Oryzias latipes: one gene and its partners. The protein of the gene in region 3 purifies or fractionates together with the protein of the main gene of each other region. This does not show direct contact. Links are inferred from orthologs where the notes say so. Each region holds a gene or a part of one and is shown on either strand. Other genes may lie near its edges. The genes, in order: tubd1, pdcl3, cct7 and dcaf7.

Region 1 (7,277 bases), on a different chromosome or scaffold from region 3:
ATTTTAAAACTACAGAAAAAGCCTAAATGCAGACCAACCATTTAACTAATATTAAAGAATAGTTTTTGTTTACTTTAAAAATTAAAGGAGGAAATCAATAAAAAGACAATTTTATTTTTGTAGGAATAGAGCAGTTTCTGGCTTTTTGGGAAAGAAACAGTCAAAATAAGCAGCCGTTGGATGGCGTGATCGGCAGACGTCCTACCTTTCCGTAACCACCCTTCCCCAGAACCCGCAGCAGCTCGAAGCACTCTGGTCTGATGCTCTCTGTTCCTTGGTTGACATTGTCCTCGGAGATTTCGATCTGTTCACAGTCGTCCATGTTGCTGCCGTGACACAAGCTTCAAATATTGCACGTTCGCGGTAAATCGACCTCGTTTGTAAAATATTCAAAATCCTGCCGACGTGCAGATACTTACAACTCAAACCCACTGCACTGCTCCATAAAGTCATGATGCTGACCCTGATTAAAACAAACAAACATTTCAACCATAAAAATCACACTGGTACCTTTCAAAAAAAATTATCAAAAGAAATGCTATAATAACAATGAAGTAGTGTAAATATATTACAGTATTACAAACATGAATCATTGCAGACCACTTATTATATGGAGTGTTGCAACAATATGTAAAGACAGGCACCGCAGAATAAATCATGAGTTATAATAAAATGAGGTCTGTCAATATTTCTTCTTTTTAAGGATGAAAAATAATTAGATGTGGAGTTTAAACTACAATAAATAAAAGGCACTTAAGTTTGGTCACATTTAAATAAAAATATTCAGAAACATAAAATGCATGCATTTTGTTTTTTATGCACAAACCAGCAGATAACGTGTCAAATAAACTGCTGAAGTAATCCAGGAACTGCCCGCATTGAGCAGCTTCTGTTTACTGTAATTACAGCTCTATGCAGCATCATAGCGGTGCTCAGGTGTTTGTCCTGCACTCATTCAACCCGGTGTTGCCCCTTTAAATGTTTCAGTGGGAGCAGAAGTAAAAAGGGCAGCGAGCTCCCAGCTCACGTTGTCAGAGCTGGCCAAGACAAACTGCACGTCTGTCTCCCTGCACCACATTTGCCCAACAAAGCCTGGTTTACTTTGCACAACCCCAGAAACTTGGGTCACGTGAATTTTAAGACAAGGGACAGCAGCACGCGCTCGCGGCAACTGAAAACAAACAGAAATGAGGCACGCGGAAGTCCTGTCGAGTAGGCATGTTAGCCTCCGCGCTGCTGCTCCGAAGCAGCAGAGGATGGATAGCTCCGGCTGCAGGAGCAGGCCTGCGGTGAGTGCAGGCAGGCTACCAAGCTAACAGCTAGCTTAGCTACCGTGTTTCTGCTGTGACAGCTTTTGCAGATATACGTCCAACTGTCTATTTAAAAAAATACCTCCTCGTTTTCATCATCGGAGACGTTTTCCTCTGGTTGGTCCAAATCTATGTCAAACACTCCAGCCATGACATCCAGTTGCTGGGGTTGTTCTAGTCACAAACTCCAAGAACAGCGAGCGGCGCCCACCTCATGGACAAACACACACGGCCGCCATAACCGGCTACTACAACGAGCATGCGCACTGTGCTACTCTGGAAAAGGGGCGGTGACATTTTCCTACTACAGTCAGAAAATGCTTACATTTACTACACTATTTTTTAAATAAAACATTTTTCACGACTGCGCCACCTTAGAAATATCTGATTTCATAGGCCAAGCCCGGTTTGGACCTGTTTAGTTACGGAATTGGAGGCTTTTCAAGGACAACAAAATGCAGTATGTCACTGCAACTGCAGGGGGCACTAACCAGTGCTTCATGTGCCCGTCCAAAGTCCGGATAAATGCAGAAGGTTGGGTCAGTAACATTGACTGTAAACAACAATTGACAGCTCAACCTCTCCCTTCTCGCGTTCCCAAAAAGAAAGTGCCATTGCTTCCTGATACGGGCGCCGCCATGCTATCTATTTTTAATGTGTTCTTGATAATTCTGTTTTTTGTTTTTTTTTTTTGGGGGGGGGGGTATTTTTTCTTTATTGCAAGTTATTCATGTTATAAACTGACCAATCAGATGGCTCAATAAAATCACGTGGTGCCCCCACATCTAACACTCAAATCAAGTGTTTGACATATTCTTCTTATAGCCCGTTTTCAACGGTAAGGGTGTGGACTTCCAACAACCCCTCCCCTGAAACCCACCCACTCCAACCAGCTTGCACACACCTCTTCATCTTTTTCCAATTCTCTCTGATTCTCTGGACTATTGACCTTTAGGTCCTCCACCTTCATCCACTCTGCTCCCTATAACCTCACAATCCCACTTGAATTCCACTCATTTAGACTCAGATAGTTTCTTACTGCAGCTGACCTTCAGTCTTCTCCTTTAGTCATCTCCTTTCCCAAGCAAACTTTCATCTTTTACAATGTGCCTCCATCTGCTCTCTGATCTTATTATAAATTACAATGTCATCTGCCATCATTGTGGTCCACAGATATTCCTGTCTAATCTCACCTGTCGGTCTGTCCATCACCACAGCAAACAAGAAGGACCTCAAAGCTGACCCTTGGTGTTGTCCCACCACCACCTTGAACTCATCTGTCACACCTACAGCACCTTAGAGTTCACAGGGATGTCTGGCACAACTCCAATGTCCTTCTCTGCCATTCCAGAGTTTCTCAAACAAACAGCTCCGCTCTCCATACTTTGTTCTGACCTTCTCTGTTCTTCTCCAGCAGCTTCCTCAAAGCTAATAATGGAGATTGCATCTTTAATTCAAGTTTTGTTCCACATCATGCCTTCCCTGACAGCCTTGGGAATGGTGCATGAGAGCTCTGGGTTGTACTACCATGTGGTTGCAGAAAGGACTTCTGCCATAAAACTGACAGGATGAATTCTCAAAAATGGAAAAAGCATTAGGCCTAAAAATAAAAACGACACGATTGGTTGGGCAAAGAAAAACAACTAAAAGTCAAGCTAGTTTGAATTTTAGTTATTAAAAACACACACACAACTTAATAATATAATCAATTCAGTAAACTATGATGCCCACTGGGTAAACAAGATGTATTGTTTATTTTTAACTTGTGAAAGGTTTTATCTTCATTCTTTAAATTCTGCCTTGTTTCTGAAAACCTTTTTTTTTGGTAAAAGTATGTTTTTTAATTAAGAATGTCAGTGAAATAAATTGGGTATTCAAATTAATGCTCCTTACTCTTTTCACACAGCGCTCCAAGTCCTCCAACCAATACATTTCCACTGCTGTTCCCTATAAAAACGCATTTGTGTAAGAAGGCATATGTCGTCGTTATATTTTGAAAATATTTCGTTCAAAGAAGTCTTATTTTGAAAAAACTTAACAGGAAGCGATTGTTCACAACACTTTGTGGCGGCAGCGCATGCGCTTTTCAAAATCGTAAAGGAAGTATTTGTTTACTGTAGCGCGAGTGCAGCGGCGTTCTGCTGCCATGTCCGTAGTGACCGTCCAGCTCGGTCAGTGTGGGAACCAAGTGGGTCAGGAGCTGTTTGACGTCCTTTGCAGCGATGCGTTGGCAGCACACAGGAAAACGTACAGCACGGCCAGCTGTGAGAGGTTCTTCCATCTAACATCACATGGAGGTAATGATGCCGGCTACAAACCTGCTGGGGGTTTTCTGAGCAGACCCTTTATTTTATTTTATTTTCTACATTAGACTTAGAAGCCAGGGCGGTGCTGATTGATATGGAGCCCAAAGCGATTAACTCCAGCATGACCAAGGCTCTGAAAGGTGGCAGGTGGAGGTATGGAGAAGCTTCCCACTTTAGTCAAAAGCAGGGATCTGGAAACAACTGGGCTAATGGGTAAGGATGGGTCCAGAACTAGAATCAACTACGCTGAGATTGTAGTCCAGAGAAAGGTAAGTGATTATCTAGTTTTGTGTTTCATGCCTCCGTCTAGGTTTTGCGTCCATGGTCCTCGTCACAAAGACGCAGTGGAGGAGCTGGTGAGGCGGGAGGTGGAGCGCTGTGACAGACTGGCAGGTCTCATGACCATGATGAGTGTGGCAGGTGGAACCGGCTCAGGTGTTGGCACCTACATCACTCAGTGTCTCAGAGACATCTACCCAGCATCGTTTATCCTCAACCACCTCACATGGCCGTACGGGACAGGGGAGGTACAAATCTGTATTATGTAGTCGTCATGACGCAGAAATGTGCTTTTTCTGGTGACATTTCTGTCTCCAACTTTTTCTTTCAGGTGATCCTTCAAAATTACAACTCGGTGCTGACGCTGGCTCATCTCTACCAGCTGTCCGACGCCATCGTGGTGCACGAGAACGACACGGTCCACGGGATCTGCAGTCGGCTGCTCAACATCAAACCCATCGCCTTCACTGACATCAACAGAGTTATTGCTCATCAGCTGGGTGGAGTCCTGCAGCCGGCCTTAACCCCTGACTCAAATGGAGTCTACAGCCTGAATCCTCTTGGTGAGTGAGGTGCAAACCGTGGACAAAGTCGTTCCACTGTAATCGTAAGAAAACCCCACAGTGGCTGCTAAATAATTTAAAAGCTTTGATTCCATGCTCCGGGTGAATACTCGATTCTGATTGGCTGCTGGGTGTGCATTAAAACCTGATAACCGCACAGTAAAAAAAGAAGGTCCGGTCACCTAGCTTAAATTTTTCGTATCACATTTTTTAAACAAACCTTTGCTTCATCATTTGGACAAAAACAAGCGGTCAGAGGTGAACTTTCTCTCTGAACTGATGCTTTATTCAACCAATCAGAAAGATCAGCATATATACATCGCCGAATCTTGACTGCAGCGGTGATGCAGCGTCACGCGGACTGTTATCTGTTACGCACATCGCTTTTTGTGAGGAAAGCGATCCAAATCGGAAAAAAAAACAAGAATTAAGGACTAAAAACTGGTTAATATGTATTGCTTTTGTAAGTGACCATAGTATAAGCAGGTTAATGGCCTTCGAAGTCTGCGTTATTACTTTTTAACGCACTTCGCAGAAGCAGGTTCAGGCTTCCACGGCGTGCGTTAAAAGTAATAACGCACACTTCGTCGGCCATTAACCCTTACATAATAAATAAAGATCTACAACTCGTAGGAAAGTCAGACATCACTTTTGAATCATTGCTTAACAGAATCCGCTAAAGCAACTGGATAAAAATGACAAGTCATAAAACTTTTGAGGCAATTTCTGTCTCCGATTTGAATGCAGTCTTCTCCAGACAGCATGGAGACGACTGCTCCATCACAGATGATCAACGTGATTTAGATCAGAGATCATCTAGAACAATGCAATATTTTGTTTGTGGACATTCTAGGATCATTTTTGCTTTTGGATTGGTATTGTTGTAGTGTTCATGAGACCATGCTGTCAGATAGCAGATTGTCCTATCAATGAAAGTTAGTAGTTGGGAGATACAGGGCCTTGCAAAAGTATTCGTCACTCTTGAACTTTTCAACCTTTTGCCACATTCCAGGCTGCAAGCATAAAGATATAAAACTATAATTTGTTGTGAAGAATCTACAACTGGGACACAATCATGAAGTGGAACGAAATTTATTGGACATTTCAAACTTTTTTAACAACTAAAAAACTGAAATATTGGGCGTGTGATTTTATTCAGCCCCCTTAAGTTAATACTTTGTAGTGGCACCTTTCAGTTTTGCACATCGAGAGACTGAAACTTTTGCTCATTCCTCCCCGCAAAACAGCTGGAGCTCAGTGAGGTTGGATGGAGAGCGTTTGTGAACAGCAGTTTTCAGTTCTTTCCACAGATTGTTGATTTGATTCAGGTCTGGACTTTGACTAGGCCATTCTAACACCTGGATGTGTTTGTGAACATTGTAGATTCTGCTTTATGTTTTTGGATCATTGTCTTGTTGGAAGACAAATCTCAGTCCCAGTCTCAGGTCTTTTGCAGACTCCATCAGGTTTTCTTCCAGAATGGTCCTGTATTTGGCTCCATCCATCTTCCCATCAATTCTAAACATCCTCCCTGTTTGCGCTGAAGAAAACCATGATGCTGCCACCACCATGTTTGACAGTGGGGATGGTGTGTTCAGGGAGATGAGCTGTGTTGCTTTTATGCCGAACATAACGTTTTGTATTGTTGCCAAAAAGTTCAGTTTTGGTTTCATCTAGGGCTGCACGATATGAGGAAAACTCGCGATATGCGATATTGGTAATTAATATTGCGATAAAGATATAAATTGCGTTATATAAACAAATAGCAAAAAAAACAAAAACATCATTTCCATTTCACTGCATTTCCAAATGACCCTTGTCGACGTAGGAGGCAAACATCAAACATAAAAGGGCTCATCTGATTGATCAAAAACGTAAACGGGTCCTTCTGATTGGTTAAATGCACAAAGGGATTTATTTCATTTGTTCAATATTTCAAGCTGCCATGAGTTTGTTTTAGCACATTTAAGGTAATCATTTATTGCGATTTTTGCGGTATGCATATTGCACAGCTTGATTTCGCGAGAACGATAAATTTGCGGTATATTGTGCAGGCCTAGTTTCATCTGACCAGAGCAACTTCTTCCACATGTTTGGTGTGTCTCCCAGGTGGCTTGTGGCAAACTTTAAACAACACTTTTTATGAATATCTTTAAGAAAGTGCTTTCTTCTTGCCACTCTTCCAAAAAGGCCAGATTTGTGCAGCATACGACTGCTTGTTGTCCTCTGGACAGACTCTCCCACCTCAGCTGTAGATTTCTGCAGTCCATCCAGAGTGATCATGGGCTTCTTGGCTGCAGGTCTGATCAGTCTTCTTGTTTGAGCTGACAGTTGAAACGGACGGGCGGGTCTTTGTAGATTTGCAGTGGTCTGATACTCCTTCCATTTCAGTATTGTTGCTTGCACAGTGCTAATTGGGATGTTTAAAGCTTGGGAGATCTTTTTCTATCCAAATCCGGCTTTAAACTTCAATCACAACAGAATCTCGGACCTGCCTAGTGTGTTCCTTGTTCTTCGTGATGCTCTCTGCGCTTTAAACAGACCTCTGAGACAATCACAGAGCAGGTGCATTTATACGGAGACTTGATTACATACAGGTGGATTCTATTTATCATCATTAGTCATTTAGGTCAACAGTGGATCATTCAGAGATCCTCACTGAACATCTGGAGAGAGTTTGCTGCACTGAAGGTAAAGGGGCTGAATAGAATTGCACGCCCAATATTTCAGTTTTTTTATTTGTTAAAAATATTTGAAATATCCACTAAATTTCATTCCACTTCATGATTGTGTCCCACTTGTTGTTGATTCTTCACAAC
Region 2 (7,300 bases), on a different chromosome or scaffold from region 3:
AAACCAAGTTGCCAAACGTTAAAAGGACATTTGGCAAAATCCCAAACTAAGGTTACAAAACCCAAAAGTCTTTAAAACTTTATTTAGAAAAACTGACATGACAATTAGCATAATCACCAAAGCGGTGAGTATTATTCACAGATGTTTGACATCCCACTAAAGGCTCACACACAAACAATATTCTGAGAAATATTTGGAAATAACCATTGATGAGAGCTGTGGCAGTGTTTTAGCTACTGCTTACCTTCCACTTTGAGGTTCATGCCTCCAAACACCAGAGGACCGATGAACTGCGCCTTCATCTCCCCTTCAAAGTAGACGAATATAGTGGGCAGGTTGCGGTCGGGGTAGTTTGGGATGCAAGTGGTGGAGATGGACTTGAGGAACTTTGTCTGGGGAAATTTTCGGGCCAGCATGTTCAGGTGCTGATTGATGAGGGTGCAGAGGGGGATGCTGGGGGAGAAAAAAAAAGAAGAAAAGGTTGCTTTAATGTTGAACACAATTTTAAAAAAAAGGAAAAAAATGCTGTTTAGATGCAGAATTTTATTCATAATTGGATAAAAAGATCAACGTCTAATATCACTTTACTGTCAATATAATGATTCCCAAAAACAACAACGATGCAAAATTGAAAAGATGTTTGAGCATTTAGTTTCTAAAACAGTTTTAACACATAATGGGTGGTAAAAAAGAGGGTTATTATTATTTAAAGACTTATGTTAGCTGGAGCTTTGAAGATTTTTTTCCAAATGTTGCAGCCATCTGTGAGGTTTAGGTAGAGTTTGGATGCGAAGCAGGAACATCATTGAAGGCTCGCACTAAAATACTGTATTTTTACGACTACGGGGCGCCTTACTTAAAAGTCGTAAATTTTCTCCGAAATGTATGGAGCGCCCTTTGGTAAAGAGGACGGAGAAGAGGACAGCATGAGAACAGTAAGGAGGGCAGTGAGGACGTGAAAGAAGACCCCCCCCCCCCGAATAGTACAAAAATGCATGTGCAAAAGGCATGTGCATTAAGCAGAACAGCATCGTTTTGGTAACCCTGAAAATGCAAAGAGATACACTCATATCAGTTTAAACAGCAAGCTGTCACACTTTTACTAAGACTGGGAGGAAGCGCTGGGCGAGTTACACCACAATTTGTGAATGGATTGTAGATGCTTGGGCTAACGAGTGTTGAGGGATGAGTGTGGGTGTTTGTGGAGCGCATACAGCGCGGTCAGTCAACGTTTTGGAGTTGAGAAAAGAAATAAAGAATGTTCCTCTGAAAGAACTGAGACTGGCAACTGAGACGGACTCTGACGATGACAGACGGGAAGCTGGCGTGTTTGATAGAAATGTAGCCCAGCTGTTCATTTAGGATACAGAAGATGAGGACTTTGATGGATTTTTGGATGCTGATTGAGGACGGAAAAAATGTAAAAATAAATCACAACCAACTCAGTTTTGCTCCAGCTGCCTTTTTAAAAACACACACTAGCATGGATGTTTTACCAGTATGTTTGAACGTCCTCGCGGCGTGCGATTTGTAGGTGTTAAATACAGAAAAATCACCCAAAACTGAAACTGCACCCCAGTGCGCCCTATGGTCATGAAAATACGATGTCCTACAAAGAACTTTTAAATACAACTTTCAAGCCATCGGATATGGTGAAGGTAATCCTGCTAAACTAGTAGCATAACAGATTATGTCTTTGGTTTTGAAAGTCTCTCGTCTTTCATTAGAAGCTGAAAAGTCTTATAGAAAAATCAAACTGTTAAAAATGAGCAAACATCTAAAGCAGGCGTCGGGAACCTATGGCTCGCGAGCCATATATGGCTCTTTTGATGGTACTGCGTTTGTTGCGGTCTACAGTAACCAGAATAAAGAACCTTAAAAGAGGTTAAGTCTCCGTGCCTCCGTGTGGGAAAGGGACACTACATTATTGTATGGCTCTTTCGAAATTACATTTAAAAATATGTGGCGTTTATGGCTATCTCAGCCAAAAAGGTTCCCGACCCCTGATCTAAATTTTAAGCAAACCTTCAAAATCTCTTCTATAAAAAACAAAAAGTAAATTTTGACTGAAAAGAGGAAATCACCAAAGTAATTTTACTAGGCAGACAGTGATTACTGCATTTAGACGTTTTACAAACTGGTATTTAACAAGGAAGTACTTTAAGTGTTTTAAATCCAATACTAAAGTTGAAAAAGGAATTTTAAAAAATAGTTTAAAAAAAAAGAAAAAATACATTTTAAAAAGATCCAGTGGCAAATATTCTGAAATTATAATTGGATTTTTTTTTTAAAAGTATTTTTCCAACAGCTTCCAACAATCTAATTTCCCAAATCAAATCTAGCAAAATTCATGTAAGCACTCCTGCTTCTTTCTATAGTAAAATTTTGCTTTTTATATCACAAAAGACCAGTTTTTCATTGTTGGCACGTTTTTGTATGCCCGTGTATTTAATCTCAATCGTCCTTAGTCTTTTCCCAGCATGCATGCGTCTGTATGTGCTTTCATGAGACCCCCCTCACCCACAGAAATGCCCAGGGGTTTGTTGGTTTTGTTCCCCTGTTGCTTTTGCTGGCTTACCCCTGTTTGTAGAGGTGCAGCACCACCCAGATGCCGTCTCCAGCCTTGTTGACCTCTTTGACATAATCCTGTCCAGAGATTTCCCCCAGTTCCCCGAACACGTTCTTTAACTGAGTTGCTTTCCATTCTGCAAGACGCTTCTGTCTGGAAGGAGAGACGGCTTCCATCAGTTCACTTACAGACGGTGGGTCCCAAAGCGCAAACAGCTTCACCCCAAAGGCTCACATGGCCGACCCTTTGAGACGGCAGAATTTCCCCAGAGAAGGGTTTTAGTTCAAAAACATTTCAGCAAGTTAACAATTCAAATCACTCAGAGTTCACACAATGAGTGCAAAAGAGACTCTGATCGATGGGAAATTTGTAAAAGGGTTAATCAAATGTAAAAACAACAAAAAGATAGCTTCAAATAAAAGAGTAGAAATAGATATGCAACTATACCAACCCCAACCACGAAACAAAGGAATGCTTTTGACCCACTGATATGATCTGGACCATAAATCCCAGTCTATGAGGTGCTGCAATTATTAGCTCTGTGTCAGTCTGAAAGTTTGGTGAAGGCTGCGTGATTCCTGAGACTAACCTGAGATCCGCTCCACCTCTGCTTACCTGTACATCTCAATGGCAGCCTCATCATCCTCACCAAACTCATCTTCATTTTCCTCCAGTTCGTCTAGTGTCATGTTTTCATATGTTTTGACTAGTCAAAGACAAAAAAAATAAAATTAAAAGGGACAACAATTTTCTGCTGATTATGTTTTGGGAATTATATGATTTTTGTTGGTTGAAAATGTTAGAGAAACATGAATTTTAAGGACTAGGGTGGTAGTTTCGAAGCATTCTGTTAGATCCAACTATCCTAATTCTAATTTATCTGTCTTACCAACAGACTGTTGCTGCTGCTGGACAGCCAAAGTGTCCTCTTCTTCATCTTTAGGAACCTCTTTGGGGGGAAGAATTCCTTTTTTCCTCAAGATATCATTCCACTCGGTGTCTTCATTTGGATCCTGGAAAAACAAAATGTGTATATATATGACATAATCACATAGTTTCATACGCCTCTGCTATACGGATTAAACAATCTTTAGAATAAACAGGATATGACATCAAGAAGAGAGTTAAGAAAACTGGACCTTTGCTGCTAATATTAACACACACACACGAATCTTAAACTCTTATGGAGGCACCTTTACAAAATGTATTATTTGTACTTCGAACTAAATTAAACAACTTTATTAGTATAATGTTGGGGTTCAAATTCAGAGGGGAAAAAGGGGAAATAAAAATTATTCAGGAAGATGAGGACACAAAACGTGTAATACGCCCGTCTCCATTCAAACCCCTCCTCAATGTGTTCACAAATAATTAACCCCACTGGTATATTTTAGTTTCGCGGCTTCGCTCAGAGACGTACACCAAAGTATTACAGTAAATAAAATAGTTTTACCAACCTGCATTTTTTTCAGAGAAAATCAAACCACGGCTGTTCTCCCAAAAACGGAAGCAGAAGGAAAGCAGTGACGGCGATTCCGGCAGAAACAACAACCTAACATTTCTAAGGAGACTAAAGATAACCATAAGATAAATTCAGCTCGTATGTCATATTTTCATTAAAATGTTTTATTTCTTTTTTATTACTATTTCCCCCCAGAAAAAAAAACTTTTAAACATATTTAAAAAAGCTAGGAACTAATCCATCGCAGGTACGACAATAATAAATGTGACAACAACTTCCTGTGGACTCGATATGACCATTTAAGGAAGGGGAGCGGAGCATTTCGTTTGACTCAGAACAGGTGCTGCAAAAACGCACGCATGCGCACAGAGTCGTGTTAACTAACTGAACGTCTAAATGTTGTCAGCATAATTATTTTACAAAGCAAATAAAAACAACTTTGTCCTCTACTATTTCATATATTTCTGTTACTATATATATACATGCAATTTTATTTATTGAAAAAGTAAATTGTAAATTTATGAACGCATGTAAAATCTTCATCAAGTTAAAAATGTTGTTGCACTGGTCCATGTTAAAAAGTTGAGTTCTGTTCCAAAATGTGATTGTGTTTGTTAAATTTCTGGGAATGGTTCTGGGAATAATAACCTGGGTAGCGTGCTTTAAAACGGACAATATCTGTCAAAAAAAAAAAAAAAAAAACAGTTGAAGAACGGTTTAAGAACGAGATACCAATTGTGATGTGGATCAAGTTATCCAGATCACAACGAAAGGGTTTTCCTGCATGTGATGTACATTGATGACAGCACTACATAATTCAAAGAGAAGAATTTCTATTCAAACATTTTTGAAAACCTTCAGTGAAGAGGAAAAGTTTAACACACCGTGTTGATACCGTTAGTCAGCTGAACAAACAACATCAGTCAGTGTTAAATGTGAAAACGTGGTTTGTAAAGTAACATATTCGCTGTTCTCCTCAGATTTAAAGAGATTTTAGTGAGTTTTAGCAGATTGCACTCAGTTTCCGGAAGCTAAACCATCCACATGAGACCTCGCATGTGACCACAATGAACAAAGACTTTAGAACCGTTTGGCTGAACCATGGACATGTACAAACTTGTCCTTAGTTTGCTAAGATGAAATCACAGGTCACTGAACTCATGAAGGTGGTTCAGGAGCTTGAAAAACCGGAAATGGCCCACCTCTTTGAACTGAAGACAGCTTTTGGACCATATTGCACACGACGTCATCCTTATTTTTTATTTTTATTTTTTTTATTTCCAGCATCGTTAAGTCCTGTGATGCTTTCTTTAAAGAAAATACGCGAGGAAAAAAAATTGAATAGTATGACAATTTTTTGAGTTATTTGTTGAATTGCATGTTTGTGCTGCTCTGTTTCAAAAATTCTCTGAGTTGCTTCTCCCATAGTTGTAGTGAGAAGCCTTAACAATCATAACATTTCCTAAAACTCTTTCCTGCCCACCTCCCCAAATGACACAAATATAAAGTTGTTTAAACCTCAGAAGACTAAATATAATACCATGTTTATTCAGTAAATCAACTAATATTGTAGACAAGAGAAAAGGAAACAAACCGATCTGCTTGTTTTGCATGTTGCAATCAAACAAGTCTTTGTTCTCGCACATCACGTTTCTAACCAGAAACTAAATTCAGAATGACTGAGCAGGCTAGGCTAAATAAAGAACCAGAGTTCATGAATGTAGAAAAGATTTGTGCCATGAGATGAGATGTTACTGTTGCCATGGCAACAGGAGAAAACTTATCTTTGAAAGACTTACAACAACTTACAACATTTCCTCTGAAGGTATAAACCAGTGTTTTTCAACCTTTTTTGAGCCACGGCACACTTTAACCTTGACAAAAATCCCGCGGCACACCAGCCCCCCCCCCCCCCCCAAAAAAGCAGAAACTCATAGTCTGTTTTGATCTACAGCCCCCCCCCCCCGGCAATCTGACGTGCATTTTTGTGATAAAGTTGCAGATGTTTTTTCTAAAAGATGTAATAAAAGTTAAGTTACATACAAACTGTATGTTCGTTGTGGTTTCAATCCGTGTAACAAGGACGACTCATTGTACGCTGAGGCGCTGTCCCTTTAAGCCAATGCATCATGGGAGATGTAGTGTGAATACGGCGAGAAAACGGCAGAAAGACTCGCGTCTCTGAGCTTCATGGTTTTGTTCACTTGTTCCACGGTCTGATACCGGATTCTGTGGAAAGCTACACCGCTAAAGCTTTAGCTGGTGTTTTTGTTGGAAATGAGTGAGTTATGAGCTAAATTGGAACAAGGAAGTTTAGACTTTAAACACTTCTGATTGGTCAGACTGATGACATGTGATTAAGCCTTCAAGAATGATTGGTGGAGTCGTGGAGACAGTAAAAGCTGCGGGACTTTTCAGAAAACAGTTATAGCTGCAGCTTAATCGCGGTGCCGTCATTCTTATCAAAATGTCTTTAATAGAATCAGTTAAACACAAAGAAATAAGTATTTTATGATCTTTCATATTCCTAACTACTCAGTGTTTTATCAGGACCTGTTTGGATGAACAAAGAGCTGATTTCCTGGAGATGGTTAATGTTTTTAGATCAGTTAATGAGGGCAATTTTCCACGGCACACTTGACCATCTCCCACGGCACACTAGTGTGCCGCGGCACACTGGTTGAAAAACACTGGTATAAACCACAAGAAACAAAGCAGATGCCTCTTGAGCTTGCATGAGGTTGCTTTTCTTTTCCCGACATCTGGAGTCATTCAAAGACATACAACTCTCAGATATGATGATGGACATGTGGCCAGACTGTGGTGGTTCAGACGTGTCCAGAGGAGAGACAGTGGCTGTAGGTATTGATGGAAGGATGCTGAGTCTAGAGCTGCCAGGCTACTGGTCTGGAGGAAGACCAAAGAGGAGCTTTATGGATGCAGTGAAGGAAGACATGAAGGTGTTAGAGGAGAGGATGCAGACGATGGGGTTAGATGAAGGATGCTGATCCCTCTGAAGGGAAAAGCCGAAACGAAAAGATGAATATTAAAGTTACTTTTTTCAATTTGATTGTCGTTTTGGTTACAGCTGTGGGATCGCCACGGCAAATCGCACCATGATTCAGAAACCTGACTTGGCTTCAGTTCTGCCCTTACTTAGCCAACTCTCTGAACTGACCTGGACTTGGGACAAGGACAAAAAACATTATAAATTATAGTAACAGAGCACTTGGTGGTTCCATTGTAAGAGAACAAACCAAGTCCTACTT
Region 3 (7,412 bases):
AAGTTAAATAACAGATAATAATTATATAATAACGAAAAGTTTAAAATCCCCCCCGATGATATCATCGTCCATCCCAATGGTTTACTGCAAACATCGTCAACTGCCAATTTAAGGGACATCGCCCAACCTTAAATGCAACATCTGCCAAATCTACTTTGAAAGCATAAAAATGCAGTCATTTGCAGTTCACAAAATCTACCCATTTGCATATAGAATTTTTTTAAAAAAGGTATTTGAAGAACAAAATGCACAGATGGATCTGAAGTCAACTCATTTTTCTCACCTTTCTCCTCCCACCTGAACCTCTTCAAATACTTCACAAAGTCCCAGCACATCCTCTGTTAGCGCTCCCACAGACGTCTGGATGGAGCCGCCACAAGCCTAACATCACATGACAACACAGATCAAAGCGTGTTTGCTGTCTGACCGTCTTTAAAAACCCACTCAGATCATCTTTTGGGGCGGCCGTGGTGCAGCGGTAGGGCGGTCGACCCATGATCGTAAGACTGCAGGTTCGATTCCCGCCTTGCATGCCCATGAGTCAAAGTGTCCTTGGGCAAGACACTGAACCCCACCTTGCCACTGGTGGTAGGCAGGCGCCTATGTTTGGCAGCGGAGCCGCCACCAGTGTGTGAATGTGTGTGTGACTGGGTGAATGGGTCTGTGACTGTAAAGCGCTATGTGCTTGTAGGAAGAAAAGCGCTATATTAGTATACGCCATTTACCATTTAGCATCTTTTGATCTATTGTAAGATTGTTCTTAATGGTCTTTCAGTTAAGATTATGCCGTTTTTAGCCCAAAAGACAAAAACCTGTGTGGTTTCTAAAACAGTTTCTGCAGAGCGGCAGGCAGTAGTTCACAAGAAATTCACCTCTGAGGTGTGAGCAGGACTGTTGGTGCAGAGTAACCCGCCTCCTTTCCCGTCACCCATAACTGAGAGCTCCCTGTTTACGTGCTTTCCCGGTAGCTTACAGCCCCTCATAACCCCAACCTCACATTACTGTTGCAAAAAAAGGGCGACCAGTATTGGAGCTATCCAGCCATATAGTTTTGATCCAGATGCCAGCTCAGACAAGGAAAATGAAGATGTACATGGATCTATCTACAAGTGGATGCATCTGAATGGAGCAGAGCAGGAAGTGGCCCGCTCAGCGTATTTTCTACGTCACCTTTATCAAACTGCACTTGTCTCGTCTGCTCCCGATTTGTTTGAAGAAAGAAATACTCAGTAATGCAGTTTTAAGCTTAATTTTCTTTCTACATGTCCTCTATCATGAGAAAAATGCCTCAAGAACATTTTAAAAACACAGTTTTCATCGGAGTGGGCCTTCAAATAATCCCAACAGTATTCCACATCAAAAACCTGGGAGGGCAAAAGAACATTATAGCAAAAAAACCTAAAACGAGATTTCAGGTTCTTTTTTGATTCAATAAAGCAGAGTCTTGCCGTCAAAACACCTCAGAAAACATTGTTTTTGTCTCACCATCATCGTCCTCTTCAGGTCCTCCTCCTGCACCCTGCCAGCACAGAACAGGTCTCTGTCTGCAAAGTACTGGGTGGCCACGTCGCCGATGGGCAACTTTGACAGAACAACCTTGGCTCCAGACTGATAGATCTTCTCTAGTTTGTCGTACAGAATGTTCCACTCTGCATCCACGATGGCTTGATATTCCTGCAGAAGAAGTGGACGAAATGTTTCTTCACCAAGCAGGAAAGGAAATTGCTCTCAGCAATGGGCGTTCAAGCCACCACTTCCAAATAGAGATCAACGTAAACGCACATTTCAGGCTTTCATTTAAAACTCACGTTCAAACGTTGCTACACAAGTTTTTAAAACTTTTTATGGGCATGTTGAAAGATAAACCCCATCAAACTTCAACCGATCAGGATTTGGTAGAGACGTATGGACGGCATCCCTTTTAATTTAAGGAAGTGCCGAGAAAATCGATAATTGTGATTTGTGCCTGGTCCAAATTATGTGACACCAAGTCTTTCATATATTGCAATAGAGCTGAGAAATAAAAAGCCTGGAAGAAGATTCATGAGATTTGCACCACTTCAACATTTCACACAGAGCCTCTCCCAACTGTAGGTGGTGGAGATGCGCGAGTAAACAGTAAAAGAAGAAAAAAGCCCCTTCCTGGTTGTCCAGTGTGAACATCATGAGCTAAATTGAGCGAGTTCTTGAACACATGTCACATGTATGAACACAGCTTAAAGAGGATTTGCTGTAGCAGCCTCATACCTCCACAGACTTGACACGAACTTCAGCGTTGTCCTTCTCTGCTTTCAGCTCCAGCTCCACGTTGAGCAAAGCGATCTTCGGGTTATCGTAGCGTTTGGGCTGCATCTCAAAGCCAGCGTAGGAGAACGTCTTCTTGAAAGCAACGCCAGAGACCAACTGGGAATCCTGCGGGCAAACAAATGATCACAAGGGAGTCAAAAAAGCAGCCAGCTAGAAACCAAACGCTCAGAGACGAGAAAGAACACCCACCTCCAGCGCTCCTCCCTGGACCTTCTTGATGCCAATCATTTTCAGAGACAGAAGCTCGTCCAGAGACATGACCGCATCCACCACCATCTTAGAGAAGAACTCCTTCTGCCCAGCGATCAGTTTGGAGTTCAGGGCGGTCGCTGCACATTTCTCCAACAGCTGCCTCTGCTCTCTGACAGGATGGAGGTAAACATCAGCAAACACGATGGACTGAGTCTCAGCTGCGCAAAAACCATCGGCAGCTCACTGTTTGTCGTCTTTCTTCACAGAGACGGCGATCTCTTTGATCTTGCTGACAGCGAGGTTGGTGGCAGTGCGGAAAGCGCGGATGATGGTCTGAGGGTGGAGACTCTCCTCCACGAACGGCTTCAGCTGCCTCAGGAACTCGGCGGCCAGGAGGGTGACGGACGTGGTGCCGTCTCCAACCTGTATATGTAGAGAGGCGCCTTCATTTAAAAGTCAATTTCAATTTTAAAGCTGCTTCAGAATACCACTTCTACTCACCTCAGCATCCTGCGAACGAGCGATGTCCACCAGGGTTTTAGCAGCAGGGTGAACCACATCCAGCAGCTTCAGGATGGTAGCGCCATCGTTGGAAATCGTGGCCTTTCCTGGAGAATGCAAACATGTTAACAAAAAAACAAACAAAACAACATTTTCTGTCATGTTTAAACTTCTCCAAATCCCATCCCTCCTTACCTCTGGCATCCACCATCAGTTTGTCCATCCCCCTGGGCCCCAGAGTGGTTCTGACAGCCTCAGCAATAACCTGGGCAGGAAACAGCAATCAGCAGGTCTGAAAGGCTCCACAGTCTATGTAGTAAATTCGCTAGTAGATGTTCCCCCTTACCTGGCAGGCATTGATGTTACTGACGAGCTGGGGAATGCCCTGAGACGAATCTGTCCCCTCCTTCAGCAGGATAACCGGTGTGGGCTGCAGGACACGGGATAACCACAACACCAATGTTAAAATGGCAAATATTTAAAGCCCCATTATCTTTTGATCTATTCTACAAGCAATCTCAGGGGTCTTTTAATGAAGCCAAAATGTAAAAAACCAGGGTTGTTTTCCAGGACATCGTTTTTGCAGAGCTGCATTAGTTTTCCTGCTTTTTTCTTTTTCTTTAATAAATTCACCTAAAGGTTTTGGGCAGGACTGTTGACGCAGAGCAAGCCCTCCCTGTTACTGACAGCTCTCTGTTTACATGCTCTCCTTCCATCTTACACCCCAACCTAACATTACCAGTCCAACATAAAAATGGCGACCAATATTGGAGCTATCCAGTCGTACGGATTTGAGCCAAATGTCAGCTCAGACGAGGAAAACAAAGACGTTCATGGATCCATTATTTGTCTACAAGCGGATGCATCAGAATGTAGCGGAGCAGCGAGCTTGTGCCCCGCCCACTAACTATTTTCGTCTACTCCTGATTCACAATGATTTGAATAAAAAATAAAGAAATAAATGTGATTTTAAGCTAAATTTCCTTAACATATCTCTTTCCTAGTCAGAAAAAAATCCATGAGAACATGTTACAAACACCAAAAACACTTTTCAACGGAGTGAGTCTTTAAAACCAAACACCCCAGAGGCACGTGGGTAATCAAACAAAATACTAACAGCCATTTACGCTTTATTTTATTACAAAGCCACCAAATTCTCACAAGAGGTTCTTCTGTTCCTAAAACATTTTTCTTCAAGTAAAAGTGACTTAAGATAAATCCTTAAGGCTGCAGTTTGAGTTTTAAGCTATATAGTGTGATAATTAAAAAACGGATGACAAAATTGAATATCATTGGTAATGCTGCAACAGGTATTTAAGTGTCATAAAATATATTTTAATGCATTATCAGTCTCGTCAGATGGCAATACAAACAGACATGAACTACAACCACTGCGGCAAAGAGACAGTATTACAAAAAGCTAATATGATAGCTAGCATATCATTATGTCAAAAACAATAACAATATATTGTTAAATAATGCGATTTAACAAGACTAACAGTATTTGCTCGTTTGTTTCTTTGTAGTCCCTGAAAGTGACTTTAATCTAGTAAATAGTGAACACGAAGCATGCTGGATGACATCTTCCCTAGCCTAACATACGCCCATTGATTGTCGGATGCTAACAGTGTGTAGCAACAAATAAAATCTTTTTTACAATCGATATCCACAAAATAACTGCGTTAAAACGTAGCTGACAACCTGCCGGATACGTCCCGAAAATGTCTAACATCGATGGTAACGGATGCAAGCCAGGATGGATGATGATTAATAGATGGATGCTAACAAACTCACCATCATCTTTGCGGTTCTTTCGAGAAGCTTTTCACCGGCAACCAATCCCACAATGCTTTTCGAGAGCTGATGCTGCTGGGTCTGCATTCAAGAATACAAATATTTTGTTTACGGTTATTTAAAACGTTCTACTATATTAGTGTTCGTTACACATGTGTGACAAATTAATATAATAACTAAACGAAAAGAAAATGTGAATAAATATCAATGTTCATAAAATGTGGTATCCCAAAAAATCTCAATGTTTTTAAACATCCAATTCAACTCTATGAATTTAAACTTCAGAGTTTTATCTCTATTAGAATACTTTATTTTATAAAAATCGTAATATTTGGTTGTTCTAACTTTACTTTTTAAATTTGTCTCTCAAAGCGCGCGCTGTTAAGTTGCTTTGAACGCAACTTTTTTTGTTTAGCTTCCGTGAAAATGTCAAAGGCCTCTGATTGGTCGTTCAGCCTGAGCACAACCGTCTAGGATGCGTTTGGTTATTTGCGTTACTTTGTCAGACACGGGCGGAGTTATTTGTTTTCACAATCGGACATCATTTGCGCCCCTTCAAAAACACCCTAAGTTACAAAACAAGCACTTTGCAATAACGTACCCAGAACTCGCGCGGAGTTCAGAAATTCTACACAGAGCGGTGGCGGGAGAGATTGCAAACGGAGAAATACAGGCAAATGTTGAAGCGTCCTTCATTTTATTTGACGAAGAATTTGGTGTGAAACAGCAAGAGGGCTTACTGGCAGCAGTTTTTGAATTCGAAAAAGATCGACCAGATGGAAGAGTTCGGAGTCTTTGGTGTTTTCGGAATTAATGGTCCGCCTCAGAAGCTGCTAAGGTACGAGAAAGGCGCTAAAAAAACTAGTGTTACGACAATGACATCACTTTAACTATGTTCAGTATAAAGTTAATGTTAAAAAAATATATATATGTATATATACCCTCACTTCAAAGTGAAATACGGAATATACGTGTCTAATATCTTGTAAATTGTGTGATATTTTGTGATTAAATGTACCTTAGGACAACACTTCACCTTTATTCGCGTTTTTTCCCTATTTTCCTCCTCTTTTTCTGTTTAGTGCCGATGGATCTTGCAGGGCTTCGGTTGCTATTCCTGCCTCTGTCCACCAGGTGGTGCTGTTCAGCAGCGGGCCGTGGGGGGAGAGGATCTGCGTCAACGCAGAGCTCAATGATGCTGACAGGTTCCCCATCACTATTGGAAAACTCACTCCTTATAACAAGTAACACTTTAAAAATATATATATATTTCTTAAATCATTAATGACTGCAGTGTATTTTAAAGCCACTCTAAACACATTTGCTGCAGATGTTTGTCATGGGAGCAGTGGGAAGAAGAGACATGGACAAACGGCGTCACTCTGACTATTACTTTAGAAGGAGGCGATCTGGTAAATGCAGAAGCTTAATAGAAAGAAGTTCACATTTGTTGTGCAACATCTGACAAGTTTAATCCATATACTCCACCCAGTCAAAAGCAGAACCAGAACGTATCCTGGCTGTGAAGGAATACACCCCAAAGGTAACCCACGACGTCCTCCTAAATATTTACCGTTTCAAAAAAGTTACTGTGTGTGTTTTAGGGAGAAATAATGCATTTCTCTCACACCAGGACATGGCGGCTCCCCTCGCACCCCGAGAGCTCAACAAGAGGAAGAGGGAGCGAACGTCGGAGGACGCCGACGGTGACAGCAAGGTGGCAAAGACGGGGGAGGAGGAGGAGGAGGAGAATACGTGTCCGAATGGGGCTCGGGAGAAGACCACACCTGTGGCGAAGGTCAAAGGTCAAGGCAAAAGCAGCAAGAGGCTGTTTGGCAGCAGAGCAGGGGCCTCAAACGTGAATGGAGCAGGTGAGCAAGTTTTTAAGTCCCATTCCGATTATTTTTGGATCTATTTTAAAAGCGTTCTCAATGGTCTTTTGATTATGATTGACATTTTTTCGCCAAACTTACACAAATGTACTCTTTATTAAACTATTTTTTTCCTCTGTTCCTAATTCACAACTATTTGAATAAAGAAATACTCAGAAATGCAATTTTAATCTTCATTTTCTCTTTAAATGTCCCTCATCATCAGAAAAAAGCCACAAGAAATTCCCAAAACCCCAATTTTCCTCAGAGTGGGTCTTTAATTTGACAGAGGGTGGCGTTAACGGCAACCAGTTGTTTGAGGACAAAAGTGTGCTTGAACCAAGCCATTCCATTTTTTTTTTAACAAGCAGTGCTACTCAGAGGCTGAAGCAGCTTGAAGTCATTCTTCTTTACGTCTGGTTCCACAGATAATGGAGCAGATGAGGCGGGTGGGGGTGTGGGAAGAACGCCCCCACAGGGCACAGCCAGGACCAAGAGCAGGCAGGCCAAGACTCCCACGCAGACTGGTATGCTTACACATAGCTTTATATCCTGTATTTGGATTTTCAGGCCTGAGTTCTATCTACGGTGGCCCTGAAGTCCAAATCACTACAAAAAAATCACTCATCATAAAAACATATGAAAGATCACAACAACAATAAAAACAGGTAAACGATTAACCAAAACCCCTAATTTTTAGAAATTTCAACAAAGTTCCAGAAATCAAAGCGTAAAAAACAAAAGCAA
Region 4 (7,215 bases), on a different chromosome or scaffold from region 3:
AACCCCAAAATATAAGTTATAACCTAAATGGTCCAGTAATACTGTGATAACAACGACACCCAACAAATCAAATGTAGCTAAGTCACAAACAACAGCTTGAGCATGGCTGAATATACAGGGACAAATCGTTTGCTAACAAATACATTTAAAAAAAATTTTTTACCTTTACTTTGCTATCAATTAATAACATATCTAAGAATTAAGATTAATCCTAATAACTAAACCCATCCCCCAACTCTCACTCACTTTAATCTGTTAGCAAACGTAGCATTTGGCTAATGCTAGCTAAGGAAGCCTGACACACTGTCACGTTGAACTAAACCTGTGTTCTAGATCAATATAAAACTGCTATATATTTAGTGAGATTTGTAAACAGAGTGTAAACCAAAAATAATGAAGAAGCTGCCTACCTTGAGGATAAAGTATAGCAATGAACGCGAAGCTGGTTAGGAGAAAAGAACTTGAAACTGTCCTTGGAGTAAAGTTCCGTTTGAGACAGGAAACTGCCAGTGACATGACTTGCCTTTCAAAATAAAAGCAACGATGTAGAAAACTTTTTCCAGAAGTCTAGCATGTGTTCTCTTGCAGTGACAGATAACAAGACACACCAAGATTTCCTTTTTTTTTTTTTAAATCACCAACCAATAGAGTGTTTTTACTGCAAGATGAGTTGTCATTTGTATAAGAAAGTCTGGAGTGATAGAGAAGTATGTTTGAGTTGTTCAGGACATCCATTAGAGCTGGAAGACATAAGACGTGCTGTATGTGTGACAGAAGAGTTCAAGCTGGAGGTGAGACTGCACCATCAGCTTTGAGCTCCTTCTTGTTTGCTGTGATGATGGATGGACAAACTGGCAGATAAGGAACCTCTATAGATCGTGATGTTTGCAGTTGACATCACGATCTGAGCAGAGAGCAGGTGGAGGAACATCTAGGAGATTTGTTCTGGAATGCAGAGGAATGAAGATCAGCTGCAGCAAGACAAAGTTGCTGCATTTAAATGAGAGGAATTTAAGCGGAATGTTTCAGGGAGCAGAGGTGAAAAATTGAGGACTTTAATGGCCACTTGTTGTGGTAATTAAGCCATTCATTAACATACCATGGTTTATAAACTTTACATTAATTGAATTATAAATTGTCTAGGAATACTTTTGACAGCAACAAATACAAGTTCCTTTCAAAACCAGCTGACAGTGCCACACCGTCACAAGGAGGTTCGATATTTGGTGTGGTATACGATATTTTTTTGGACAGAAAAAGCAACTAAAAGGGCTCAATCAAATTGGAATAATCTTACTTCCGGTTCATGTGTCAAAATTAAACATAGAAACAAGACTGCACATTCGTTAGAAAGTAAACATTGACGCTGCATCGTATAATAAACATAAAATTCATTAGGATATGTAGACAAGATGTTACAAGAAAAACAATCTTGAAGCCTGTAAACTGTATTTACCCCCTTATGGTCACAACTGCAGACAGTAATCAAGATTGACGTAACTACATAATTTCGCTTCCGGTAGACACGTTAAAAATAAAACTATTTTGAAACACAGCCTGACAGTGAGAAATACATAGCAAAAAAATTACGTAAATTTTATTTTAATTATAATTAAATTCATAAAACACATGTTTAATTTAACAACATAAACTCAAACGTTCTCACTAAAAGTTTTAATGAGTGCTCTTTAAAAACTCTCTTTTATTTTGAAAGTGTAACCAGGAAGTTCTTCATACGTCGGTTAGATGGTTCGCCATCAAGATCGTAACAAGCAATGCTACTCTTTGTTAAGTGAAGTGCTGTAAAATCTTGTTTTAGAACAAGATTTACGTTTTTAACAGTCAACCGTGCTTCTTTTGATGCTTTTCTATTATAGGAAAACGAGCCGGTAAAAGTTCGTCGCGGCGTTTTCTTATTTGACAGTAAGCTAGGGCTAGCGTGTTAGCTGCTCAGACAACAGCTCGTGAGGATGTCGCTTCACGGCAAAAGAAAAGAAATCTACAAGTACGAGGCGCCATGGACGGTGTACGCAATGAACTGGAGCGTTCGTCCGGATAAACGCTTTCGGCTGGCCCTCGGGAGCTTTGTGGAAGAGTATAACAACAAGGTGCGTAGCTTGTTTTATGTTTTGTTTTTTGAGTCAGCTAACCCTTCACGAACAAACGCGCTTGAATCAGTGCTATGCTAGCTCTGTACATGTTTAGAGTGGTATTGCAAAATGTTATTGCGTTTATTATCTTCGTAATAACGTCTCCATCGATGCTTAATGGTACCCCTTTTTTAATTTAATTTAATTAATTAATTAATTTATTTTTTATTAGAACGAATCGCTTTTATTTTTTTCTTGTCATCATATCTCTACTCAGGTTCAGTTGGTGGGTCTGGAAGAGGAGAGCTCCGAGTTTGTCTGCAGGAACACGTTTGATCACCCTTACCCCACCACCAAGATCATGTGGATCCCGGACACCAAAGGGGTCTACCCAGACCTGCTGGCCACCAGTGGAGACTATTTGCGCATTTGGAGGGTAGGATGTCAAACCCCGGTCACCTGCTGCGTCTGTCATGTTTTTGTTTGGGTCATCTCTTTGTAACTCGAGTACTTTTCACTTTGGGATTTTTTTTTACATCGGTGTGTTTGAAGGAACTTATACTTGTCATGCTTTACATTGCCGCATCGCTGCTTTATGTGTTAAAACTCTTTTATATTAAAGGGGATTTTCAGACCTGTAAGCATAATGTTACAATTATCAAATGAAACTTTATTTATAGGGCATTTTTCATACAACAGTGAGTGCTTTATAGACTTGAAACAATCAAAAAAATAAATAAATTATAAAATAGATTATAGAACACATTTAAACATAAAATTACATAAATACAATTCAAAATAGAGACAAAAGTGAAAGAAGTGAGGAAATTTTATTTTGAAATGAGATAGAACTGTAAGTAAGTAAAAGTAAACTAAATGTCTGGAGCATTTTTTTTTAAATAAAAAGGTGTATGTTACCTCTTTATTTTCTTTTAAAAAGCACAGCATTTGTATATATTTTTTTTAAATTTCCCTGAACTATAGCTATAATGCTGAACCACTATGACAAAGGCTCCATGTATGTAATGAAACCTGTCGTTATACTTTTTTTCCTCCCATTTCTAACTTTTGTGATGCCTCACAGTTTCTTTTAAAAGTATCATTTGGCAGGTTACATATATGCCTGTTAATTGGCTTCTAACATCAGTTTAAGTATTTTTTAAAAACACACGCAATGCTGTTTATTAGGCCTGGGCGAAAAATCGATTGAATGAATTAATTCGAATTTTTTGTTACGGGCGATTTCAAAAATAACTGAATCGAGTTTTTGTGTAATGGCGCATTTTTGGCTCCCCGGAGCTTCCGTAGCGTTAGTTTCACACGGCAATGTGGCAAGCGACAAACAACAACATCATAGCACACACGAAACAGCAAGCGACAACATGGCTTACTGCCACCGACGTGGAGGAAGAGCCCCCCCCCCCACGCTGCAACATTTGCCTAAAGCCCATCGCAGTCAAAGGCAACAGCACCACAAACCTATTCCAACACCTGGGGGAAACCTTTTATTACAGTTCTCCTTCAATCCGTAACTCCAAACATGAACGCCCCCCCCCCCAGCACGCTGTCACTCACTCTCGCGCGGCACGCGCTCATTCCTCTTACACACGCACGCAGTGCGCTGACACGCACACTCATTCTCCAACACCTATATGGTTAGTTCATTAGTTACTTCGTAGTTAGTTTTTACTGTTATTTGTTAATAAAGAATACTGCGTTGCAATTATGAATTACATTTATTTGTGTATTCATTTGCGATGCCGGATGTTGTGTTAGGCGGGGGGGTTGACCGCGACTCCTGCTGCTTCGTCAGCGCGGTGATCAAAAATCCCACACCGTGACAGCTCTAGTTTATATCTTGTGGGACACAGAAAAAATGCGACTTTTCCAGTACGGATAGCAGAACCGTTGAGGTCAGATCTTGAAGAATGTTGCTCTGGGGCTCGTTCAATACGGGGGCTCAGTACCCATCCCTAGGGGCACGGTGGAGAACAATCACTGAAGCGGTCGCTTTGCATACAGCCAAAGACATGGTACCCATATATACTGTGGAGAAAACGGGCTTTATTAATTCAATTAAAACCTTAGACCCCAGATATGAGCTGTATTGTTAATCCTTTAGAAATGGTGCTACTCTCAAGGTGTAAGTCTGACTTAAAACACAGCTGGGACTTTGATTCCCGGAGTGTGTTCATTTATTTATTATTCATCCCAGAAATGGGGGTTACATTTGTCTTGCGTTTGATTAAATAAATCAAAATTTGCTTTAAGTTTTCTGCCGTTTGTACTTATTGCTTTCCTTAGGTAGGGGGGAAAATCGGAAAAAATCAGAAATCAATTAAAAACATTTTTTTAGACCATATCGCCCAGCCCCAGTGTTTATACATGCTTATACCATGGTCTGAAAGAATACTTAATTCTGATTGGCTGCTGGGTGTGGATATATCATTTTCCTTTGCCGCTCCAGTCGAGGTCACAAGACAATTTGCAGCACAACGTAAGAAATAGTCTGCTTTTTGTGAGAACAATTATTTAAACCCAAAAAATAGCAAGAATAAAGTACTAAAAACTGATTGAATATTTATTTCTTTTGTAAGTGACCATCGTAAAGGCGGGATAATTGCCTTTGAAGTGTGCATTTTTCAAAAATGAACGCACTTCACAGAAGCAACCAATTCAGGCTTCCACGGCGTGCGTTAATTTCTGAAAAATGCACTCTTGGAAGACCTTTAACCCTTACTTAATGAACTATTCAGCCTCCGATACTGATTTTGAGCATCAGCAAAGAAACATTTCCGACGGGATCTGCATCGTAAGGGATGGTGAGGGAATTTGCTGGAAGTCTTGTGGACTTTTGTGGATTTTTCTGCTTTTATTTCCCAGGTCAGCGACACGGAAACACGTCTGGAGTGTTTGCTAAATAACAACAAGAACTCAGACTTCTGTGCCCCTCTCACCTCCTTTGACTGGAACGAAGTTGATCCCAATCTTCTGGGTAAGAAAAGTATTTGATAAATGCAAGCCTAGTCGGGTTTGGGGCATTTGAGAAGTCATTAAAAAAAGTATTTTATCCGACAGGAACATCCAGCATCGACACCACCTGCACTATCTGGGGCCTGGAGACAGGTCAGGTGTTGGGACGAGTAAACCTGGTGTCTGGGCACGTGAAGACCCAGCTAATCGCTCACGACAAAGAGGTCTGTGCTTGTCTTGATTGTAAAATGGATTGGTATTTGTCTGTACAGAAGAGTTTTCAACCTCCTCCTGTCTCTGCAGGTGTATGACATCGCTTTCAGCCGTGCAGGAGGGGGCAGAGACATGTTTGCTTCCGTGGGGGCCGACGGATCCGTCCGCATGTTTGACCTGCGACATCTGGAGCACAGCACCATCATCTATGAAGACCCCCAGCACCACCCACTGCTTCGTCTCTGCTGGAACAAACAGGACCCCAACTACCTGGCCACGATGGCCATGGACGGCATGGAGGTGAATCATTTAGCATATAGTTTTGACATTGACAAATACAAATCTGGAATTTATGTCGCTAATTATCTCTTTTGGTGCAGAGGAATTTGTCATTTGCAGATTTTCCACCTCTTTTCGTCATTTTAACTTTTGTACAAAGTCCTGTTTAAACCAGTGTTTAATGATTCTTCCAGATAAAGTTTAGAACATTGTCAGAAATGGGCTTGTCCTCATGGTGTCTTTGCGGTAGGTGGTCATCCTGGATGTCCGTGTGCCGTGCACACCCGTGGCGCGGCTCAATAACCATCGCGCCTGTGTCAACGGCATCGCCTGGGCCCCTCATTCCTCCTGTCACATCTGCACTGCAGGTGAGTGGAAACCAAGGAAACCGTTTCCCCATACGGTCTTTTTTGATTTAACTTTCATAAAACTGGTTTGAAAAATGTTTCCAATTGTGAAAAACCAAAGTGGCTTTTTGCCAGAGTGCATTTGGAAAGATTTGCCATTTTACCGATTGAGGTTTTTTTTCAAATGTGGGTGGGAAAAGCTTTTGTTTCCGTCTGCTTTTCTTCTTGTTCCTGACTTAAAACATTTGCTGTATCTTTCCAGCCGACGATCATCAGGCTCTGATCTGGGATATCCAGCAGATGCCACGTGCCATCGAAGACCCCATCCTGGCCTATACCGCCGAAGGGGAGATCAACAACGTGCAGTGGGCTTCAACACAACCAGACTGGATCGCCATCTGCTACAACAACTGCCTGGAGATCCTGCGTGTCTAAAAGCCCGGAGAAGGACTTCTGCTTCACCTTTGGACTTTAGTTCTCATTCCCCTGCTTTCAGTCCCAGGACACGAACACAGTTTAGCTCTCTGAGAGTGTTTGGATGATCTAATACCTGCTCTGCAATAAATTGGTTTACATCAAATGTCCGTGCATCCGCTCCACCGCTTTTCAGAGAAACGTGTTTAAGCTCTTATTCGTTTTGGCCCGCAGCTGGAATCAGCGTCAGAGCTGTTGTCTCTAAAATTTAGGCGTCTTTTATACGCCGAGGCGATCATGAAGGGTTTAGATGTTGTACATTTCATCAGTTGAATTTGTCGAGGTCGATTCTAACACTGGTTTGTGGCAGAAGACGACCTCTGATGCGTAGGAGTATGTTGTAGCCTTTTTTTTTAGTGGATTGCATACCATAATCTTTTCAAACTAAGGTCCTGAATATTAGTCTTGTTTACCTGCCGATGGGTCATCTCTGCGCTCGGGGTTCAGACCCGTGCAGTTTTTTAAAGTTGCGAAGTAAGACGGGATGCATTCCTGTCTGTTATCTTGAATTGGATCCAGAGAAACTACCATGTACAGACAAACCTAAACATGTTCGTCTTTCTAATGACTTTGTGTGTGTAGAAACCTGCCTTTTTCTTTCCCGGTCAAGTGCGAGATGGAACTGAAGTTCTTGAATGCATTTCTGTCCACTGGCTTTTTGTTTAATACTTAAGGGGCCCTTGTAGCATGCCAATACAAGGTAAAATGTACATACATATAAATATATCAACAGCTGTTGGTAAGCCAAGTGTTCATGTTGTAGCTCTTTTTCATAAAGTTTATTATTGAATTTGCTCTAATAAATTGTATCCTTTCATGTCTCAGACAAACTTGGCTTG

What was found.
Region 1: the proteins of cct7 (region 3) and tubd1 purify together in Homo sapiens (co-immunoprecipitation; 3 studies listed by BioGRID and IntAct, counting the BioPlex papers as one, with this or other methods). This does not show direct contact. The link is inferred for Oryzias latipes from reciprocal best matches to the Homo sapiens genes CCT7 and TUBD1.
Region 2: the proteins of cct7 (region 3) and pdcl3 purify together in Homo sapiens (co-immunoprecipitation; 4 studies listed by BioGRID and IntAct, counting the BioPlex papers as one, with this or other methods). This does not show direct contact. The link is inferred for Oryzias latipes from reciprocal best matches to the Homo sapiens genes CCT7 and PDCL3.
Region 4: the proteins of cct7 (region 3) and dcaf7 purify together in Homo sapiens (affinity purification with mass spectrometry; 4 studies listed by BioGRID and IntAct, counting the BioPlex papers as one, with this or other methods). This does not show direct contact. The link is inferred for Oryzias latipes from reciprocal best matches to the Homo sapiens genes CCT7 and DCAF7.

What each region holds. Positions count from the first base shown.
Region 1 is NC_019871.2:24,829,662-24,836,938, forward strand, and holds the start of tubd1 (tubulin delta chain), read left to right. Parts: upstream 1-3,369; 5' UTR 3,370-3,456; coding exon 3,457-3,607; intron 3,608-3,681; coding exon 3,682-3,829; intron 3,830-3,926; coding exon 3,927-4,143; intron 4,144-4,226; coding exon 4,227-4,458; intron 4,459-7,277. Other genes in the region: ribosomal protein S6 kinase beta-1-like, read right to left, coding at 206-341, 420-463, 1,393-1,461. UniProt on the Homo sapiens protein: Acts as a positive regulator of hedgehog signaling and regulates ciliary function.
Region 2 is NC_019879.2:4,244,138-4,251,437, forward strand, and holds the start of pdcl3 (phosducin-like protein 3), read right to left. Parts: upstream 4,299-7,300; 5' UTR 4,033-4,298; coding exon 4,027-4,032; intron 3,583-4,026; coding exon 3,459-3,582; intron 3,276-3,458; coding exon 3,185-3,275; intron 2,723-3,184; coding exon 2,579-2,722; intron 454-2,578; coding exon 245-453; intron 1-244. UniProt on the Homo sapiens protein: Acts as a chaperone for the angiogenic VEGF receptor KDR/VEGFR2, increasing its abundance by inhibiting its ubiquitination and degradation.
Region 3 is NC_019876.2:13,084,885-13,092,296, reverse strand, and holds the start of cct7 (T-complex protein 1 subunit eta), read right to left. Parts: upstream 4,876-7,412; 5' UTR 4,801-4,875; coding exon 4,795-4,800; intron 4,794-4,794; exon of another isoform or gene 4,702-4,793; intron 3,431-4,701; coding exon 3,347-3,430; intron 3,266-3,346; coding exon 3,196-3,265; intron 3,108-3,195; coding exon 3,001-3,107; intron 2,923-3,000; coding exon 2,744-2,922; intron 2,669-2,743; coding exon 2,497-2,668; intron 2,413-2,496; coding exon 2,248-2,412; intron 1,675-2,247; coding exon 1,486-1,674; intron 382-1,485; coding exon 284-381; intron 1-283. Other genes in the region: tip elongation aberrant protein 1-like, read left to right, coding at 5,571-5,632, 5,877-6,038, 6,125-6,206, 6,287-6,337, 6,428-6,665, 7,094-7,192. UniProt on the Homo sapiens protein: Component of the chaperonin-containing T-complex (TRiC), a molecular chaperone complex that assists the folding of actin, tubulin and other proteins upon ATP hydrolysis.
Region 4 is NC_019866.2:4,064,759-4,071,973, forward strand, and holds the start of dcaf7 (DDB1- and CUL4-associated factor 7), read left to right. Parts: upstream 1-1,722; 5' UTR 1,723-1,970; coding exon 1,971-2,108; intron 2,109-2,367; coding exon 2,368-2,526; intron 2,527-4,973; coding exon 4,974-5,085; intron 5,086-5,168; coding exon 5,169-5,287; intron 5,288-5,366; coding exon 5,367-5,576; intron 5,577-5,805; coding exon 5,806-5,923; intron 5,924-6,164; coding exon 6,165-6,337; 3' UTR 6,338-7,215. UniProt on the Homo sapiens protein: Involved in craniofacial development. Acts upstream of the EDN1 pathway and is required for formation of the upper jaw equivalent, the palatoquadrate. The activity required for EDN1 pathway function differs between the first and second arches.